Linked DNA regions of Yarrowia lipolytica. Each later gene encodes a partner of the first gene's protein in a complex. Links are inferred from orthologs where the notes say so. Each region holds a gene or a part of one and is shown on either strand. Other genes may lie near its edges. The genes, in order: YALI1_B14238g and YALI1_F29937g.

Region 1 (10,026 bases):
GTTGGCGAAAACCATACCTGTGTTCTTCATCAGAGCAGAGATGTAGGTGGTCTTTCCTCCGGGAGAAGCTGCCATGTCGAGCACTCGCTCGCCCTCCTGGGGGTCCATTGCCATGACGGGCAGGAAAGAAGAGGCAGCCTGCAAAATGTAGTGACCACACAGGTACTCAGGGGTTGCTCCAATGGGCACGGCAGAGTCGAAAATCTGCAGTCCAACCTTGGTCCACTTTCCAATGGGCTGCAGGTTGACACCTCGGTTGACCAAAGACTGGGCAAGGTCTCGTCGTCGAGTCTTGAGGGTGTTTGCTCGAATGGTGACGGGTCGGGGCACCTCGTTGGCCTCAAAGAACTCGATAGCCTCAGAAGGAGTGAACAGATTGAACAGCTTCTCGGCAAGGTACTCGTTGTAGCCGTAGTAGGAGCAGATATCCTTGAGCAGCTGTGTGGTGTAGTCGTTTCGGGACTTGCCCTCCTCGGCCAGACCCTTGAAGTCCTCCAGAACCTTGACGATTTCCAGAATTCGGGTTCGAACAACATGCAGATCCGGAGGCAGTTGGGCCTCGGCGGCAGCAGCCTCTGCGGTAGGCAGAATCTGTGCTCGGGGGTTCTGGTGCTGCTTCATGAGCTCCATCAGCTCTTCCTCCGCCATCTCTTCGTCGGACTCTTCCTCGTCGTCTAGCCGTCGAGACATAGCCTCCATGTTGGCGGCGTTGAGCTCGTCCTCATCACCCTCGTCATCAGAGAACATAGGCTTGTGGTGGGTCTCGTCATCAGAGTCGTACACCTCATCATCAGAGCCATCCTCAATATCAAACTCATCGTTGTCCATCTCCTCATCATCAGAGTCATCGAACAGAGTCATCTTCTCCCGGACAACATCGTCATCCTCCTCCTCGGGGAGCTCCTCTTCAGCCTCCTCAACAGGCAGCTGAGGGATCTCCTTCACCTTTTTAGTCTTTCGATCGGGCTTAGTTACCTTGAAATCCTTCTTGTTTTTCTTGTCTTTTCGCACGGGAGCGGGTCCCTGGGTCTGCTCCTCCAGAGTAGGTGGAACTCCCTGCTTGTTCTTGGCTCGTCGACCCATTGTGTAGTGTAGTGTGTAGTGAGTAGTGAGCTAGATGGGCTCTGATTTCTGGGTGCATGTAGTCCTAAAAAAATTCAAACTCTACTCCCAAATTTTTCGACTAAAAAAGCTAATCCTGCAGCACATCTAACGGGCCAATATCACACCTTCCTACATTTACTGAAAATACGCCTACCATGGACGTTGAAATGAAAGACGCGGCTCAGCAGCAGGAGCCCGTTTCTGCGAGACAGACACAGGTGCACCGAAAGAGCTCCAAGCCCGAGTCGCCACCCTTCATCTTCGACAACCCTCGAATTCAGCCCAACACTTACTGCATGGTCAAGTTGCCGTCGGAAAACTTCCGAGTGGTCAAGCTGATTCCCAACCAGACCATTTCTATTGGCAAATTCGGCTCGTTTCAGGTCAACGACATCCTAGGACTGCCCTACGGTTACACGTTTGAAATCCAGGAAGACAAACGACTGCGGATCATCCAGGAGGGAGTGGACGACCATGACTACGTAGTGGGAGCCAAGGGAGCGCTGCTGGAACCCGAGGAGACCAACCAGACGCTTATTGACACTTCTGAGTCACAGACTCTGTCAATGGCCGAGATTGAGGAGATGAAGAAACAGAAAACGCTGTCAGGAAAGGACATCATCGACCATGTTATCAAGGGCCACAACGAGTTCCACAAGAAGACCGCCTTCTCCAAGGAGAAATATTTGCGAAGAAAAGAGCAAAAGTACCTGCGACGGTTCACTCCCCAGCCTATGTGTTCGTCCCTGCTGCTCGATTTCTACCTCGAGAAGGATTACAAGAAGGTGCTGGACATGAGCCAAGAGATGCTGGCCCTTCTGCTGAGTATGGCTAATGTTCGACCTGGAGGCAAGTATTTGGTTGTTGATGAGACTACTGGTGTTCTTACCGCGGCGCTTATGGAGCGAATGGCTGGAGAGGGCCTTATTGTCGTTGCCCACGAGAACGAGCACCCCAACCTCGACGCTCTCAAGTACCTGTCCATGCCCACAGAGCTCCAGGATCGAATGATCAAAAGCATAAACTGGCTGCAATTCTTTGAGCCCGAGGGCGAGGAGGAGGTGCCTGAGAAGACCCCCGAACAGATTGCGTCCATGAAGCCTCGAAACCGAGGAGCATATTTCCGAAAGCGAAACCGGTGGCTGGAGCTTCAGAATGTCAACGATCTGGTGGCCAACCAGGGCTTCGACGGCCTCATTGTGGCTTCTACTTTGCATCCCGCCTCTATTGTGGACCGAACATTGCACGCAATCGGAGGCTCTCGACCTGTGGTTGTCTACTCCGAGTACAAGGAGGTGGTCACCGAGGTGTCACAGCTCATGCTCAAGGACCTGCGGGTTCTTGCTCCCTCTATCTGGGAATCTCGAGTTCGAAAGTACCAGACAATTCTCGGCCGAATGCATCCCAGCATGACCTCGAGAGGCGGAGGAGGATACCTTGTGCATGGAACCCGAGTTTTCCCTAACGAGGAGGTCAATGCCACCCAGGTGCGAAACAGAAAGAGAAAGCGAGAGGATGGCGATAAAACTAAGTCTTCGGAAACTGAGGGCAAGTCGGAGGAGTCCGTGGAACCTGATACCGAGCAATCGGCCGAGCCTGAAGCCAAACTAGAGACTGATGCTGACGCCTAATTATTTAGACGGCCATAGCTTTATATTAATGTATTATAAACTTGAAGTACGATCATCTTTTGGCCCGCTTGTGGGACTCCAGAGGGAAGGGGTCATCCTTGTTCCAAGAGAATTTCGAACCTGGATGGTGGGACCTCAGATGTGAATCACCAGGAGTAGCATACATGTTCTCTCTGAGGGAACCACCGGGGACGGCGTAGTCGTTCCAGAAACGTCCTCGCTTCTGTAATTCGGGAATAAGCAAGTCCACAATATCAATGTAAGTGCCAGGGACAATAGCAGACTGCATGTTGAAGCCGTCGATGTCTCCAACTTCAATCCACTCTTCCATACGGTCAGCAACAGTGGTAGGGGATCCAATGACAATGTCGGATCGTCCACCAAGTGCCAGTTCCTCAGCAACACGAGCCTTGTTCCACAGGGCATCGGGAGTTTTACTGGAATCGGCCCATTGAGAGATAGCTTTGCTGATGGCGACATTGTCCACCTTCCTGAGATCCTCGTCGTCGTCGTAGATTCCAAGATCCATTCCGAACCACCCTCCAAATAAAACAAGAGCTCCCTCACGATCGATGTAAGAGAAGTACTCGTCATACTTGGCCTTGGCTTCCTCGTCAGTCTCTGCTACGCACACAAACATGGAGGGAATGAACTTCAACGATTGGGGATCGCGGCCGTAGTTAGCAGCAGTTTTTCTAATGTCATCAACAGAAGATCTGACGTACTCGGGTGAAGGAGCCTGCAAGAAGATGGCCTCGGCATGCTTGGCTGCAAAGTCCCGTCCAGCTTTGGACATACCTGCCTGGTACAGGAATGGTGTTCTCTGGACTGATGGTGAGCAGATATGAGGTCCAGGAACATTGAAGTATTTTTCATTATGGTCAATGTATCGGACAAGAGTAGGCTCGGCAAAGGTGTTGGATTCAATGTCAGCCTTGATGGCATCTTCCCTCCAGGAGGACTCCCACAGCTTGTAGCAGACGTCCATGAATTCATTGGCAATGGCATATCGTTCATCATGAGGAGTTTGAAGATCATTACCATGATTCTTTGCTCCACTCTCCAGGAAAGAAGTGACAATGTTCCACCCAACTCGTCCTTTTGATATATGGTCAACAGTGGAGTACCTTCGGGCCAGAGCAAATGGAACATCATAAGTAGTGGAGGCGGTAATAGCAAACCCCAGAGACTTGGTGACCATTGTCAACGCAGGCACGAGGTAAAGGGGATCGTTGATGGGATATTGGGTGCCAGCTTTGATTCCAGGGTCCTTACTTCCCTTGTAGACGTCATAGACGCCTCCAATGTCGACGATGAACAGGGCATGGAACTTACCTCTTTCAAGGACCTGTGCAAGCTCGACCCAGTACTCAATGTCATTGAAATTCTTGCCCTTGTGTCCAGGGTGTCTCCATAGTCCCTGATTCACATTAGTAGGCGCGTTGGCGGTCAGTGCGTTCAAGATGAGCTTCTTCTTCATCTTAGGATGCTCTGGTACTCGTTCGGGAATGGGAACTTTCCCATTCTCAACGCCTTTCCAGGTAGCGATATCCATTTCCAATGACTTTCGGATGTGCCTGTTGTTGATTTGTTGAGAGGTGGTGACTCAAGCAGGAGAGTCATGCGAGTCATTTTCGGTTATTTGAGTCATTTGGACATTGAGTTGTGCATGTCAGAAGTGGACTGCTTGAGACATGGGCGCAGGAGTGTTTTTTTATTGTGTCTTCATTCTTGTAAATGGAGCAGTACGGTACGAGCAGTTATATAATGGTTGTCTTGATAATGTTTTGTTTTGTTTGCCTTCTTTCAAGGTGAAAAAGTACGGTACTACTGAACGATATCTTATCTTTACACTACTACTTCTTGATACACTATGCGGAAGGAGGAAATGACGTATGCAAGACATTCATTCCCTCCTTCCACTATGTACTCCTCCCGAAACTAATTGAGCAGCTTGGTTCCAAGAGACACTCACAACTACAAGTACAACGATACCCATATTTGTGATGGACAACACCATCACAGCACGAATACATTAATCTCACATATATTGTTTATAAACAGTTAGAGCTACGATAAAGCAACGAGAGCCAGAATTCCAGCAAGTAGTGCGCCGACCGAGATGACCAACTTTGAGCCTGAGTTGGCCTGGGCAACTGGCTTGGGCTCAGCAGATCCTCCGTTTGAAGGCTTATCAGCAGCGCCGGTGTTGGTGGGCTTGTTGGATGAGTCGTTTGATGATCCGGGCTTGTTTGGAGAGCTATCGTTATCAGACTTCTTAGGGGTTTCAGACTTCTTAGGGGTTTCAGAGTTGTCAGTCTTGTCAGTTTTCTTGGTCTTGTCAGTTTTCTCAGTCTTGTCAGTTTTCTCAGTCTTGTCAGTTTTCTCAGTCTTGTCAGTCATATCAGAAGAACCAGACTCATGGGTCTTATCGGCCTTCTCAGCCTCTTCTGTCTCCTCTGTCTTCCCGGTTTTGTCTGTCTTCTCAGTCTTCGTTGTCTTGTCAGATTCGCCCGCCTTGTCAGACTTGTCCGCCTTGTCAGATTTGTCCGCCTTGTCAGGCTTGGAAGACTTCTCGTCCTGTGAAGCGTCAGTGGTCTCACGAGCACAAGGAACGGTGATTTCCACGGTCTTCCCCTCGCACTTAGGACAAACAGTCTTGATAACAGTGGAAGGGGCGTTCTTGGGAACAACTGTAACGATTGTCAGAGTGGGTGTTATGCACCGTCCCTCGGTGTCACATTGAGTCACGGTCAATGTGAGGCTAGAGTTAACAAGAGCGGTAGCAGGACTCTCTACACTGCTGTTGGTATTATTAGTCACTGTGGGAGTAGGCGGCTCAGAGGACCCAAAAACAGTGCCGTTCGTAACACCAGCAGCACTAGAGATGGACGCTGAAGAAGGTGCAGAGGTGGGAGCGACAGTCTCCGGAGTACCGGAAGAGGAGACACCAGAGGTCTGAGGGCTAGTATCGTCAGTGTTAGCGCTTGCAGAGACAGGTGTGTCAGAAGATACAGAAGCCTCCCCGGAAGCCAGACCAGAGGCACTAGACAGGGGGGACTCGGCAGTAATAGGTTCTTCGGAGGCAAGTCCAGATGCAACGGGATCTTCAGACTTGACAGTAGTAACGGGCTTAGACGACCCAATGGGAGTAATGGGCTCTTCGGGGGCAAGTCCCGATGCAACGTTGTCTTCAGACTTGGTAGTCGTAATGGGTGTAGGGGACTCGACAGGAGTAACATCCTTAGAGGACACCACGGGGGCATTAGACTCGCTGGTCGACGCGGGCACAACGGGCTCACTGGTCGAAACTGGGACTTCAGACTCGATGGTCGGAGTAGAAACAACAAGTTCGCTGCTCGGAGTAGAAACAGCAGGCTCGCTGCTCGAAGTAGAAACAGCAGGCTCGCTGGTTGAAGCAGGAACAACAGGATCCTCGGTCTTGTATGGGTCGCAAACAGATCCATCAGTAAGCTGGAGCGTACAGATCAAACCAGTGACAGCAAAGAGTCCATCATCAATGGCCTTGGATGCGGCGGGGTTGGTTGAGATAGAAAGCACCGCAGCCTTCAGGATGTTCCAACCGTCGGCCGACTTCGCTAGCGTAATACTGGCCTGGTTTACTGCTTCGTGGTAATCGTAATGCGGCAGATACTCTGAGAGAAGTGAAGTAGCAGAGGTGAAGTCGGGGCTTTGCTCATATTTTTCGAGGGCAGCAATAACACTGCTGATCCAGTCAGGGAACTTCTGTTCAAATGTGGGAGAAAGAAGAATATCAACGGCATTGTCGAACAGAGGAAGCAGGTCATCATTCATGATGAGAGGAACAAATTCATTAATTTCCGAGCTTGCCTGTGCCTCGGGGATATCTTGGTGTCGACCATTAATCACACCCGAAATAATGGCATCCTTGATGGGATTGATCAGGGCACCCCATCTGAGGACGTAGGCAGTTGCCAGGGTAGAGGAGGCGACCGAGAAAATGGCAATTGATGATAGCTTCATTGTTGAACGAGCGTGGCAGTCTGCCTCCCTTCCGGGCACACTCGATACTCTTATATATTACCGTATGATGTAAACCGTGTGATGTAAACATTGACATTCATTATGATCTAGTGGCTAGCTAGTGGCTGGTCACAGAAATGTAGGAGCGGCATGTTGCAGATAAAGAACGAGTACCCCTAATGATGTATCGCTTTTTAAAAGTCGCTACTGGCGGTGAGGGTTCGCAAAAGATAATGAAGTTGTGAAAGCCTTCTCTACGCTTAATCTACAAGGCTTTGTAAATCATGGGGCCAACTTGGTTCACGGCGACATTTGAATAACAACCGATCACTCTCTTTAACAGTCTGGAGCCGTTCGGACAGATTTATTGGAGTATGAGTGAGTCCAAACATACCCCACAGCCTTTTTTAGTGCCTCCAGAAAAGCTTTGTCCTCCCTTGTACGTAGATGGTGCAAAGAGGACTCTGTTATTTACGTACTGTCGGCTACTATCACCGACTCGAGGAGGCCTAAGCTTCCGACGAAAATGGCCACTACGGAGGTCAAGATATCGAATAACAACCAGGCCGTCCATAGGTTGAAAGGAAACATCTTTAGATAAATATTCCCCGGTGATCTGGTGAAGAGAATCCTCATGTTGTATGTGTGCATCCACATTACATACCAGTACAAGTAATAGATATAAAAGAGCATTCTTTATCAACAGCTATTGCAATAACAAGTCGCCCCGCTCTTCCCATTGAAAATACAATGGTGGGCAGACAAAGGCTTTCCGGTGGTGCGATTTCTCAATATACTGTACTGTAACATATACGGGACCTGATGGTTCACTCATGTATCCATCTATCTACTGTAATCTTTGTAGAAGGTGTTTAGATCCTAGGTCCACAATATGCCGATTGTGGGCGCAGTAAAGAACTGGGCTATCGGACTGTACTTGTGGAACCCATCTTTCAGTACTGTAGCTATAATAGTGCCTCTCCTTCAAGAATTAATAGATGCTGAGAGACAAACAGTGGATACTCGGGAATGTAGCTACCTCGTTGAGCTAGGCTACTTGTAGTCAGGGAATGTTGGCCCTATGCTTTGTTGAGCCAACGAGTGTTTTACTGTGCTGAAAAGCAGCTAAAAATCGAACTACGACAATACAATGGCCGAGGTCTGCTTTCGGGGTCCGATACGCGAAATAAATGCGTTAGAGCGCGTACAGCGCGAGGGGCACATAAGCGAGATGGAGTCTTGCGTCATGGTACCCTACAAGTAGGCACGTTGTCTTTGTCTGCATTTTGGTTCTCAACACACCAGAGCGCGCGTGACGATAGCCCCGCGTTTTTTCTTGTCATAGGATACGGTGACACAACATAACGATATATTGTATCTGTAAACACAGCACAAGTAAACAGTGGAATGGTGAACATAAGTCGATTTTTCGACAAATACTACAGTATGTACTTGTACGTTGCGTCCCAAACTTCAGATAGGTTGAAACCTTATTCCTGATCACATCACTTGATAAGTACTTGTAAACATACGGTTCCCATATTGGTGTCACAATTGAGACCGCACATGAACAGCAAAGTGTCGACAATACTGCCGCCCGAGATCCTTCTGATTGTTCTTGAACACGTACCCCTGAAAGATGTTGCGAATTTCGCCGCCGTTTGCCACACATTTCGTCGAGTGGCAGACTCCTATCTAAATACCTCCGATGCCCTCTCCTTATACCCATGGCTCACAGTTCCAACGAACAGCACATTACTTTCGCTAGTGAGGTATATTACCGACCCGGAGTTACCCCGCCAGCGCAAAAGGTTGAAAGCAGCCGAGCTCCTCGCAGATCAGCTTAGACAGGACATGAGGAGTGATACCAATATCCATGGCCATGACGTCACCAGAGTGGGCGATTATGAGGTTCATAAGTTTGAGGACGAGTCCTTCAAATTACCGCTACTGGTGGATGGGTTCCTTCACATCTACTGGCCTGGAGAAGTGTGTAAGACCAAGGATGGCTCTTGGGTAGTTCAAATACATATAAAGAAAGTGCAGTGGGATGGGCTCATCCCTGCAAGCACCCTTAACTTGAACACGAACAACAAGAGAGTCATCAGAGGCGAATCAATACTTATTCACACTCGAACTGCCACCCAAATACCATGTGGTACGATCTTCTGCTATGAGACCCTCATGCAATGCAGCACAGAAAGCGAGCACATCGTTTTCTTTGTCACGGACCTAGGCGGGCCAGAAGATCGCGTGAATGAACTGTTCTACGGGGATTTCCAAACACGCAAGATTGTCAAACTATGTCAGACAAAGAGCCACGCCATCCATTGTCCTAGTCGTCGTGGGGGACGTCGTTTCTTGCTTAGAAACCGGCACATCTGGATGCTAGCTTGCGATCCAGGGGGAGAGCTCCGAGTTTCGCAACTAGACCTTTTCAAGACGGAGAGCTGGATTTTTACTGAAGGCCGGATCGGTATGGGATACCCCTTCTCCCCGTGAGCGCGATGGAGGTTTCCACCACATCTGTCATTCATACCTCAGGTAACAACATGTCACAAATTACAATAACGGACTTCTCCCTCCCGGGCTCCGCTAATTGGACTCACACTACAAGTACAGTACTATCTCTTCATGAAAGACGTCCGCTGATTAGACATGCACAAGTGTCGTCGGGAGGCCTAACGCTAACACCATGTGAATCCCGACCATAATGGTGAAAGGGGTTCCACTTGTGGCTCCGCAGTATGTAAATAACGGGATCTACAAATAATTAATTGTATGATGTCGAAGAAAAACACCAGTCGGCTTCTTGCTTGTTCAATATGATGCCCGTAAACTATGAGAACTTGTAGTCTGATAGCCTTGACACCAGCCTGATGAGATATCTTCGTATTTTCATCGGAACAGCAGCATGGTCACAGGTTGTCTACAACTACAAGTAGATAGACATTTAATAAAAAAAAAAAAAAGTATTACTGCTGTAACGAGGGAGTATTCGTCATTTGAATGTCAGGCTAATACAGAAACCGAAAAATTTTGAGCTGTAGGGGAATTGAACCCCTGGCACCTGCTTACAACTGAATGGAAGGCAGATATGTTACCACTACACCAACAGCCCTGCTCACGCTTACTCAAAAAACTAAACTTTCAATTTGTCCAATAGTGACCAAAGTCACGTGATGCAAAAAATAATGCAAAAATCTATCATCTTGGGAATTTTGGACTGACATTCTGGGTGAGTATGGGAGGAAAAAGGAAAGAAAAAGATACTATTAGAAGTCTA
Region 2 (9,812 bases), on another chromosome or scaffold:
CTTTCAACAAGCTTGTGGTGAAGAGCTCCTCAGACCTACCCCATACCCGGGTCCTTATCGGCTCTAGACTGCATTTCGTGCAGTAAGCGCATTTTGGGACATTTGATTAGCGGACGAGATGGGTCACGGTGGTAGAGTAGAGTAGAAACGATTGGTGCTATACTTGTAGCACTTGTACAACAGTGTAAAATGGAATGATGGGGGCAAATAAAGTAGAGATTCATAAATAAATTATGATGCTACTCTTACTGTACCTTTACCTCTCATATACCGCCATTGATATCCCATTTCAACCTGGCGAAACTGCACCAAATAAAGCGAGTTCGTGAGGTGAGGTTCCATACAAGATCTAGACTGACCTACAGTACATACGATATATTACAAGAAAATTCAGTGCAATTTAGGTGCATATTTCATGGAGTCCAGATCAGTTTGTTGTTTCAACTCGTTTGATACAGGCAGACATTACACAGTCAGAATGGAACGCTACATATTACAAGCACCTACATACTGTACATACTGTACTTGTAGTGGTACTTGTGCGAATGGAACACATGACACAGAAACGTCGTGGAATGGCGAAGGGGTTCACTTTTACAAGTACATACTCGTATACCGCTACAAGTAAACAATTGGTACATTGTACTTGTACTACAAGTAGTATCGGTGCTGTACCATGAGTATGTACTCGTACGATACACCACTCAACATCAGTCTCATGCATACTGCTGGTAATCCAGAGCAACCCGACGACCCCGCCAAACAAACCGCAAGTAACTTCGGGAGTTTTAGGTCAACCCGGATACACGGGTAGCGGTACTTCTACGGTGTTTTTTTGATACATGTGGCTGGAGTTTCTCATCTGTCTTGTGTCAAGTCAGACACCCAAACAGCGGTTGCCATGGTTACGGTGAACGACCGAGCTACGCTCCCCACTATTAGCCTAGTTCAGAATTACTGTTACTTGTAGTGGGTGTTTCATATTTCCACCGACGAGCTCACAAGACAGTTACTGTATGAGGTTTGTAACGCATACAACCTATCGGCGTTAACAATCTCTAGTCAGTCAGATGGCCCCCAAACCACGATATCTTACCAGGGGCCTGGCCTGAACTTTATCATCGTACAAGTACGGTACGAGTACACAAATGCCATAATTAGTTCGCTGATTCCATAATCACATCATTGGTGTCACATCATCTTTATGGCTTCTCGTACATTTCCAAAATCTCCACTCGACGATCAAAACAAGTTGTTATTGTTTACCCATCTCTGTTCCTTACTTCCATTGCGTTTAACGCTTTGCTTCACCAACCTTATGTCGCCATTTCTCTGCTGAAGAACCTTAAACACCAACTTATATCACGACGCGTTCCGTATATTCATCGACCTCATCGTCGACTGGCACCTCTGCATCTGGTAATGGAGAAGGAACAGAAGATTCTGGAGGTTCTCAAGGAAATGGCGCGGCTGCTGGATGTGCCGCTGGATGACGAGGGTCTCCGAATATGCTACGAAATGTGCAAGGACGGATCGGTGGAGCCTGCTGCTTTGGCCGTGAGTACAAGATAAATGATTTTTATTTTTATTTTTTAGCATGGGATGTTTACTTATAAGAGGAAATGGCTAACACAGGAGATTTTCATTCAGTATAAAAAGCAGTTTCGCTGATCGGGTGTGTCTGGACATGCTCAGAGCGCGAATGTATTTATTTTAATTTATTCATGGACAAATAACGGGCTACGTGAGGTCATTAATAACTTTTGGTAACTGTCAGGGGCTCCAGATTTCTGCTGTACAGTATATACTGAAATATATCCCATTGTAAAAGTGCAGTATGTACTGCATACACACCAGTATGTACAATAGGCAGTATCGAACAAGTACTTGCAATACCGTCTACTGGAATCGTATTAATTATCATGTAGCGACAGTATGTCTACCATAACTTCAACGATCAATCAAATATAATAGTTTTCATTCTATACCTCTAACTAGCCTGAGCACTGCAGCACAAACCCACAGATACTCTCATCAAACATCCTCTAATGTCATAGGTCTGTATGTATAGTCCTTCAAATATGCAACTTCTCCACCACGTAACTAGCATCCAACTTGTCATCTCCCTTCTCAATGTACTGCTCTCGCATTGCCACTCGCTCCTGAGCCATCATTCGAAGTTTGAGGGCGTCCACCATAGCAACGGTTTGGGCAGACTCGGTCTGGGTCTGTAGCTCGCTCTTGAGCGACTTCTTTAGCTCCTGAATGGTCTCTAGGTTCCATCCTAGCAGTCCTCCAGCATCAATCACACAGGGAATCAGAGCCCAGCCAGCGTCCATCTTCTGCAGTCGCTCCACCAGACCGTTGAGGTTGGAGATCTCCTTTCGGATGGTCTTGGTAACCTCGGTGGGTCGGAACTCCTCCAGCAGTCGAACGACGGCATCGTTGACAATCTCGTCAGACACAGAAGAGGCCAGAGCCTTGACCAGGGTGGAGCAAGGGAGGGCAGGGGCGTTCACCAGAGCCTGACGCTGCAGGAAAGGGTGAGACTCAAATGTGTCCAACAGGTTGGGGAATCGGTTCGTGGGGAAAAGAGAGTGTGTGAGAAGGTAGGTGAGAGCCTTGACGGGAGGATCGGCCTTAAGAACAGGCTCAGAGTCCTCATAGTTGTCGAACAACAGGGAACAAATCTGGTCCATCAGGAAGTTATCAATTTGGGCATCATCTCGCTCCTCGTACACGGTGAAAGCCAGGTCGGGATTTTGCTTGAGCCACTTCTTGTGCTTCATGTATTTGAGCAGAGCAGAATCGAATGCAGCACCTTGCGAGGCCTTAAGGGTCTCCATCAGAGCCTGAGATTGCTTCTGAGACTTCTTAGCAGCCTTGACCACCACATCATAGCCAGATAGGTTGGCAAAGTCACTCTCTAATCGGTAAGTCTTGGCCATGTGGATGTTGGACATTCTCCAGTCGTGCTGTCGCTGCTGTTCTCGGGTGGCAGAAGTCTGCAAACCCTGTCCTCGAGCAACAGAGTCGAGCAGAGAAGAGCCTGAAGAGAGATCGACAGTGACACCGGAGACACAGAAGCCACCCTTCTGGGGCTGCACACCAAGAACAGTCTGGGTATCGGGATAGAAGGACAGCAGAGAGAGCTGGGACGCATCAACCTCGGTTACAATAGACTCGTAGTATGTATCGACGAGTGTGAGCTTGTCGTTGGAAGACAGCAGTGTAGTTCGAGAGTCAATTGCCAGAATTGAAGAATTACCAGACACACCCTCAGGTCGCTCAATCTGGGTGGTCACCTTGAGAGAGGGGAGGGCAAAGCTGTAGAGAGTGGTGTTTGAGAAGCACGATAGGACATTGTCGACGGCAGAGAACGCAGGCTTAGAGTCGGTAGCGATATCCTTGAGAACCTTGTCAGCAAGAACGACGCATCCAGACGACTTGAGACCCAGCAGAACGGCTCGGTACGAGTCTCGGGAGCCGAGAACAAGCACAACAAGACCGTCACTGAACTCGTCAGTACGGCTATCGGGCATGAACAGAGAGTACTCAGTGATCTGCTTGGCTCCAGCATCAAACAGGGTGGGGATCTTGTCTCCGGAGCCAGCCTGACCAAACAGAGACACTGGAGCGACCTTAACGTGGCCAGACTCGGTCACCAGGTAAATTCTAGAATCATCGGAGCTGGTCCCAACAGCCACCGCAGCCTCTGACAGAGTCAGAGCGCTCTTGTTTCCGTCCTCGGAGTCAACGCATTGCTCGACACGCTCGACAAAAAACTTTTTCCGGTCCCGGATCGAGACGTAGACAACACCAGTCTTCGTGCTAGGAGCATACTGGGTGATGGCGCACACGGCCTGGGTCAAGGACAGGAAGTGAGTCCACACAGATCGAGGGCTTGGGGTGAGTTCGTAGAGAGCAGCCTGGGAGTGGCTAATTCCCAGCAGATACTGGGATCCTGCGCTTCGGCCGGGCACAGCCACCTTGTCGGCCACGGTCAGCGAGCTTTGGGGCAGGTCGCACAGGACAAACGGTTCGGTTAGAGGAGGCATGTCGTGTGATGGTGTGTTGGTGTGTGTGATTTGCAAGATGCAAATAAAATAATTTCTTGTGCATGAACTCTAATAGATTTTTGTGAACCTCGAAACTGCGATTGAGAGGTGGTACAGTAGGTGGTTCAAGTAGCTGGCACTGTGCCCGGAATGTGAGAGAATTTGTTGACAATTTGGAGTTGTTAGAGAATATTCTATAGATTCCTAAATCTGTGTCCTTATTTATCTGCTGCCCCGTTAAAAATCTTTATGTGCGTCTGTCGTTCGCTGATGGTTCCTGGTGGTGGTGAATGGCGTTAGAATAACTTCATCCATTCATTAGCTACAATTTGATACCCCATGGGTAGCGAATATCTGGCAATCCCACTTAATCACTCTGTAGAGACAGAACCTCCTTCGACTCAGAGCTACTGTACATTATCAACAGTTTGAGTTGGGAGGTTTGTACGAGTTGTCCTGATGCTGTGAGGTGGAACAGTTGATAAGACGCAATAACACAGTGGATGTACTATAAAGTCACTCACGTATAGCTGAAACTTTTTCCTAAGTACTCTGAAAGTATCAATAATTCCTTCCCATCCCAATATCGATCCTTTTCTTCAGTTTTTGCATGATTCTATCGCTTCAATCGTCACTCATCAATTCACCTTTGCCATGCAGGTTAACTCTAAAAGTGAAAATTCCAAAAAATATTTTGAACTTTTCCACAATCACACACAATGTTTTCGGCATACAAGGACACGATCGAGGATGGAGATCTGGTACTCGGGTGGATGACCCGTACCGCCATCAAGCCCATTGTGGTTGAAAAGAAGGAAGGGCTCTTCAACACCCGATACGGAGCCTTCCCTCACCGCAACATGGACAAGTATGGAGCTCAGCTTGGAAGCATGTCGAAGCAGGGCTTCATTCATCTGATTCACCCTACTCCCGAGCTATGGACTCTCTCGTTGCCCCACCGTACCCAGATTGTGTACACCACCGACTCATCGTACATTGTTCAGCGTCTCAAGATTCGACCTGGATCGACTGTGATTGAGTCTGGCACTGGTTCTGGTTCCTTCACACACGCTATCAGTCGATCTGCAGGCCTCGCCGGCAAGGTTTACTCGTACGAGTTTCATGAGGAGCGATACAATCTGGCCAAGCAGGAGTTTGAGCGTCATCAGCTGACCAACGTGATCCCCACGCATCGGGATGTGTGCAACGACGGCTTTGACATTGAGAACATCGACGTCAATGCCACTGCCGTTTTCCTCGACCTTCCTGCCCCTTGGACCGCTATTCCCCATCTCGAGCGAGTTATTGACCGATCAGTTGTCTCTCGAGTGTGCTGTTTCTCGCCTTGCTTCGAGCAGGTTGTCAAGGCAGTCCAGGCTCTGCAAGAAGCCGGCTGGGTCGATATTGAGATGGTAGAGGTTGCTGCTAAGCGATGGGAGTCACGACTGGAGATGAAGCGGTCTCTGGACGAGGCTATCACTCGCCTTAGAGACGTCAAAGCCCGACGAGAGACCGGTCTGGCTAAGAGAAATGCTCGAATCAAGGTCGAAACTGAAACTGGAGTGGAGGAGGAAGAGTCGGATGAGCGAGATGCCAAGCGGTCCAAGACCGAGTCGGGTCACAGAGGATACAACCCCTGGGGTAAGGGCCAGAAGATCAAGGAGGGAGATGAGAGCTTTGAATGGACCGAGGTGTCCAAGTGTGAGCAGGAGATCAAGTCGCATACTTCGTACCTGCTGTTCGCCAGCAGGTTGCCAAAGCTGGGCGAAGAGGTATTCGACAAGGACATGTGTGTTCGACCATACAGCGAGCGATGCCCTGAGGCTTCCACTGAGGGTGCTGAGGCTTCCACTGAGGCCACTGAGGCCCCTGCCAGGACTGAAGCATAGGAGATCGGGCGAATGAGGATAGTTAGGATACATAGGACGGTTAATATTATTAGAATAAGTACATACATGTTCACATTGTAGCCAAAATGCATCTGGTCCTGTCAGGAAGTCACAATTTGAAAGACAAACCTGTGCTATCGCACATGTAGAATCATTCAAAACGAAATCTATTCCATCACATATATACAGTTAGCCACCCCGGCCTGGAGGAAAGTACTTGCTAAGAAATTTGACCCACGGGATCAGGAACTTGAAGTAGCTGGCCATGATCTGGGCGCCGTCTTTTTCCATCACCACTGTAGTCTCCAGCTGGATTTTAATCACGAAAGATCTCAACTTAAGTAATCCAGCAGCGGGAGACTCAGCGTCATAGCCCTTGGGAACGTATTTGTACATGTTCTCAGTCACATTCATTTCCAGAAACTCCTTCATGAGACCTTCTGCATCATCGAATCTGCTTTTGAATACCAGACCAGCAGACTTCTTTTGCACCTTTCGAAGGATCTTAGCAATACATTCGCCCTCAGTTTCCTGAATTTCATCCTTGAGTCCTTTCAACGTCTTAGGACCGACATCAGCATCTCCCATGGCGCTGTATCCAGCCCCCACGACCACATGAGAGGGCCAGACGACAAGGAAGTATTTTGGGAATATACCTTTGCATCCGGTAGGACTGAATCCACCCATCCAACGAGGCTTGTAGGGCAGTCCGTTTGAGAATCGCATGTCTCTATGGATTCGAAACTGCAGCTTGATGAGAGGAATCTCAGCAGGCACATGTTCGGGGTGGTTCTTGTGGCACAAAGCTGCCAAGGAAAGGATAAAAGTGTCCCAGTTTTGTTTGGCCTTTTTGAACTCGGCATCATGTGATTTGAACCACTCTCGATTATTGTTCTTTTCTAGGACTTGAATGAAGGACAGCGAGTTAGGGTGTAGAGCCATGTTGGAGTAAGGTATATGGGAAGTGGGTATATCAGTCTCTTCTTCATCATCAGAATCGGCAAAGTACTTGCTTTTCTTAGTTGCTGGCTCAGAAATATCCTCGTTACTCTTCTCTGGTTCACTATCCTCCATGTACTCGTCAGCACTATTATCTGGAGATGACTCACCAGAAGGGATTTCCTCGGAGTCAGGTTCCGAATCATCCTCTGGGATACTTTCATTGGTGGCAGGTTCGTTGCCGTTCTCGTCTTGTGACTGTTCTTCGGATTTTTCACCCTTGTCGACCTCATCCTCGATCTTGGGTGTAATCTGACCATTCTTCAGATCGACGTGATTATTTCGATCCACACTCCTTCTAGTGGCTCGAGTTCTTTTCGCACCATCTGACTTCTGCCCGGAAGCCTGTCCCTTCCGTCCTTGCGGCGCCATAATGTGTGATACACGTAGGAGGAGGTGTGTGAAGAGACGATCTAAATTTGATCCGGCTAAGGGCTGCAGACGAGGTTAACTAAAGGCAGCACTAAGAGGGTGGAGAGAAAACATTGCAACAAGCAGGAAAAATCAAAATCTAAATCGTGTGTTATGTTGTTTCTTCTGGAACGATTCTCGCAAAATCACTCTTTGCCACAAACTGCTCACTGCAACTCACTTATATCCCCCCAATAACTACACCGCCACAAACGCCACACAGGGTCTCAATCCTTCCTCTCGCTCATCGCTTGCCAAACATGATAGCTGCACAGTTGGAAGTTTCTCGTCTTGGGAGTTTATGAACACTTTTAAGGCGAGGCGGTTGTAAACGAGACCTCTTCTACTGCACGCAATGTAGGAGCAAGAGAGAAAAAAAACCAACGTGCGGTTCCCCACTGACTAGCAATGAAGGTGAGACTTTTCTGTGTCTCATTAGGATACCTACAAAATGCATTAACTAGCCTCTTTAGAAACCGCCCAAATCCGAACCCAAAATTCTAATTCTCTCCCCACGCCTTAGCAATCTGCTCTCTCGGCTCTTATATTTAAAGCTTTGATCCACCTCCCAGAAACGAGACATTAACCACCCCTCACACAACACAATGCTTCTGCTCCGTTCACTGCGAGTGACCCCATTGGGCGTCGCTAAGCCCCGCTCAATTGCTGCATTCTCCTCGTTCCAGACTGCTGCTCCTAGCACCGTCTCTCAGACTGCCCGAGCTTTCTCTCGACAGACCACCTCCCGTGTCGCCAACAAGAAGGTCAATGTCATGGCCCAGCTCAACAAGTTCTCCCGACAGTTCTCGTCCGGACGAACCGCCAGACAGGTGAAGATGAACAACAAGGAAAACCCCAACCTGAAACAGAAGTACTCTCAGCATGGACCCTTCTCCATTGCCTGGAACGTGACTCCTCCCTGGATCAAGTTCTTCGGCCTCGCTCTCTTCTTCTTCAACTGTGCCCTGTTCATTACCATGCCCATTCTGTTCATCATTGTACCTCCCTTCCTTCTGCTCATGCTGTGGTTCCGTTCTCGAATCGCATCTTCTCAGATTGGTGTCATGAACCAGCGATGGGTCGGCATGGCCCAGCAGTCTCTCGTCTACAAGACCAAGGGTCCCCTTGATCTGCAGAAACTCAACCGAGTGTGCGTGAACCGAATTCACCAGGCTATCAACGATGATGAGCGAGATATCAATTCTATCCTTAAGGTAGACCCCTTTGCCATGTCTCGAAACGGCCAGTCTCTGACCCTTGATCCTACTGGACGAATCTCCCAGTCTTCCATGCTCTATCCCCGACAGACTAAGATTGATACTGAGAACCCCTTTGACAACCTGCCCGGCCGAGAGGAGATGATTGCCTTCGAGGAGCTGCTGCTCGATAAGTCCATTGAGGGCAAGCCCAAGCAGCAGGTTATTGGTGTTGTTGATGTTGTTCTGACCCACGATGCATCCTTCGATCCCTTTGCCTCCCACTACACTGAAGCTGACAACGAGTTCCACTACCGACTCGAGGTTCGACCCGCTAAGACTCTCTTCCCCGAGTCCAGTGACGTTGTTATTCTAAGCGCCCCTGCCCCCAAGAACACGGAGATGGAGGACGTCACTGACCACATCATCGACGTTGATCCCGTCAGCAAGGAACACTTCGGCGACGACGACAAGAAGGCAAAGAAGGCCTAAACTAGCCATTGGCGCTCCATATCTATTGACTAGACGCTGCATTTGCCTTGCAGTCACATATAAACATATTATTCTGACTTTATACAATATTGATTTCTAGAACAAATCTACGGAACTTGAAGAACGAGAGTTCTCATAGTAAGAGTGTAGCTACAAGTTCATGTACTTGTACCCTGTGGTTTTGAAGCACGCGTTCTTGTCTTTGAATATCATACCATGGCAAACTAAATACGGCCCCCAGCAGCCACGGAATTTGTTGGGGTCGTTGGGACGCCAAACTGAGGTTTCACTTGCTCAGTATCGAGTCCCTATTTCCAGTTCATTCAGACAGCCCATTGAGAGATCTGTCAGACATCCACGTTGTCGGCATGGAACGTGTTAATGCATGGTTGAACACAATACAAGGACAGTACTTACATACAGTACATACAGTAGTTATATAATCTGCGGAAAAATCCCAGCTAAACTCTGCTTTTACTCATAGTAAGCCAATACACTCATTCTATTTCATACATTTTCCTTCTAATGCTATCCCACTGCAGTCTAAGCCGACCGCAACACCTTAAACAAAAACAGCCCCGGGGCTGTCTAGATGGTAACTCCCTGGTTGAGAACCTGGGAAGACCGGAAGGTCAGCCCCTTAGTCTTCTCGATGACCTGTTGGTAGACCGACACCGAAGGGTGGTTGAGGATGACGGTGGAGTCGCTCTCGTCAATCTTGGCGTCCATTCGAGAGTCCTTGATGAGGTTGGCAATCCACTTCTCGC

The links.
Region 2: the proteins of YALI1_B14238g (region 1) and YALI1_F29937g are in contact, whole or in part, in a crystal structure (PDB 5ERG), measured with the Saccharomyces cerevisiae proteins. The link is inferred for Yarrowia lipolytica from reciprocal best matches to the Saccharomyces cerevisiae genes GCD10 and GCD14. Residues at the interface, in NP_014337.3 of Saccharomyces cerevisiae: Met1, Leu4, Thr5, Phe9, Arg16, Asn44, Asp45, Ile46, Ile47, Gly48, Tyr49, Pro50, Phe51, Gly52, Leu53, Leu85, Glu194, Tyr195, Ser197, Ser198, Ser199, Gln219, Glu220, Gly223, Met224, Leu226, Asn227, Leu228, Asn230, Ile231; in NP_012410.1 of Saccharomyces cerevisiae: Phe6, Ser7, Gly8, Tyr9, Lys10, Asp11, Trp22, Arg25, Pro55, Tyr56, Gly57, Ser58, Gln59, Ala61, His74, Leu76, Gln77, Thr79, Pro80, Glu81, Leu82, Leu85, Thr96, Pro97, Ser100, Tyr101, Met103, Gln104, Arg105, Asn107.

The regions. Positions count from the first base shown.
Region 1 is NC_090771.1:1,422,542-1,432,567, forward strand, and holds YALI1_B14238g (uncharacterized protein), read left to right. Parts: upstream 1-1,259; coding exon 1,260-2,735; downstream 2,736-10,026. Other genes in the region: YALI1_B14236g (uncharacterized protein), read right to left, coding at 1-1,083; YALI1_B14268g (uncharacterized protein), read right to left, coding at 2,788-4,290; YALI1_B14292g (uncharacterized protein), read right to left, coding at 4,806-6,740; YALI1_B14308g (uncharacterized protein), read left to right, coding at 8,307-9,242; YALI1_B14325g (uncharacterized protein), read left to right, coding at 9,985-10,026. UniProt on the Saccharomyces cerevisiae protein: Substrate-binding subunit of tRNA (adenine-N(1)-)-methyltransferase, which catalyzes the formation of N(1)-methyladenine at position 58 (m1A58) in initiator methionyl-tRNA.
Region 2 is NC_090775.1:2,988,705-2,998,516, reverse strand, and holds YALI1_F29937g (uncharacterized protein), read left to right. Parts: upstream 1-4,777; coding exon 4,778-5,947; downstream 5,948-9,812. Other genes in the region: YALI1_F29944g (uncharacterized protein), read right to left, coding at 2,076-4,058; YALI1_F29911g (uncharacterized protein), read right to left, coding at 6,137-7,318; YALI1_F29905g (uncharacterized protein), read left to right, coding at 7,963-9,045; YALI1_F29876g (uncharacterized protein), read right to left, coding at 9,634-9,812. UniProt on the Saccharomyces cerevisiae protein: Catalytic subunit of tRNA (adenine-N(1)-)-methyltransferase, which catalyzes the formation of N(1)-methyladenine at position 58 (m1A58) in initiator methionyl-tRNA.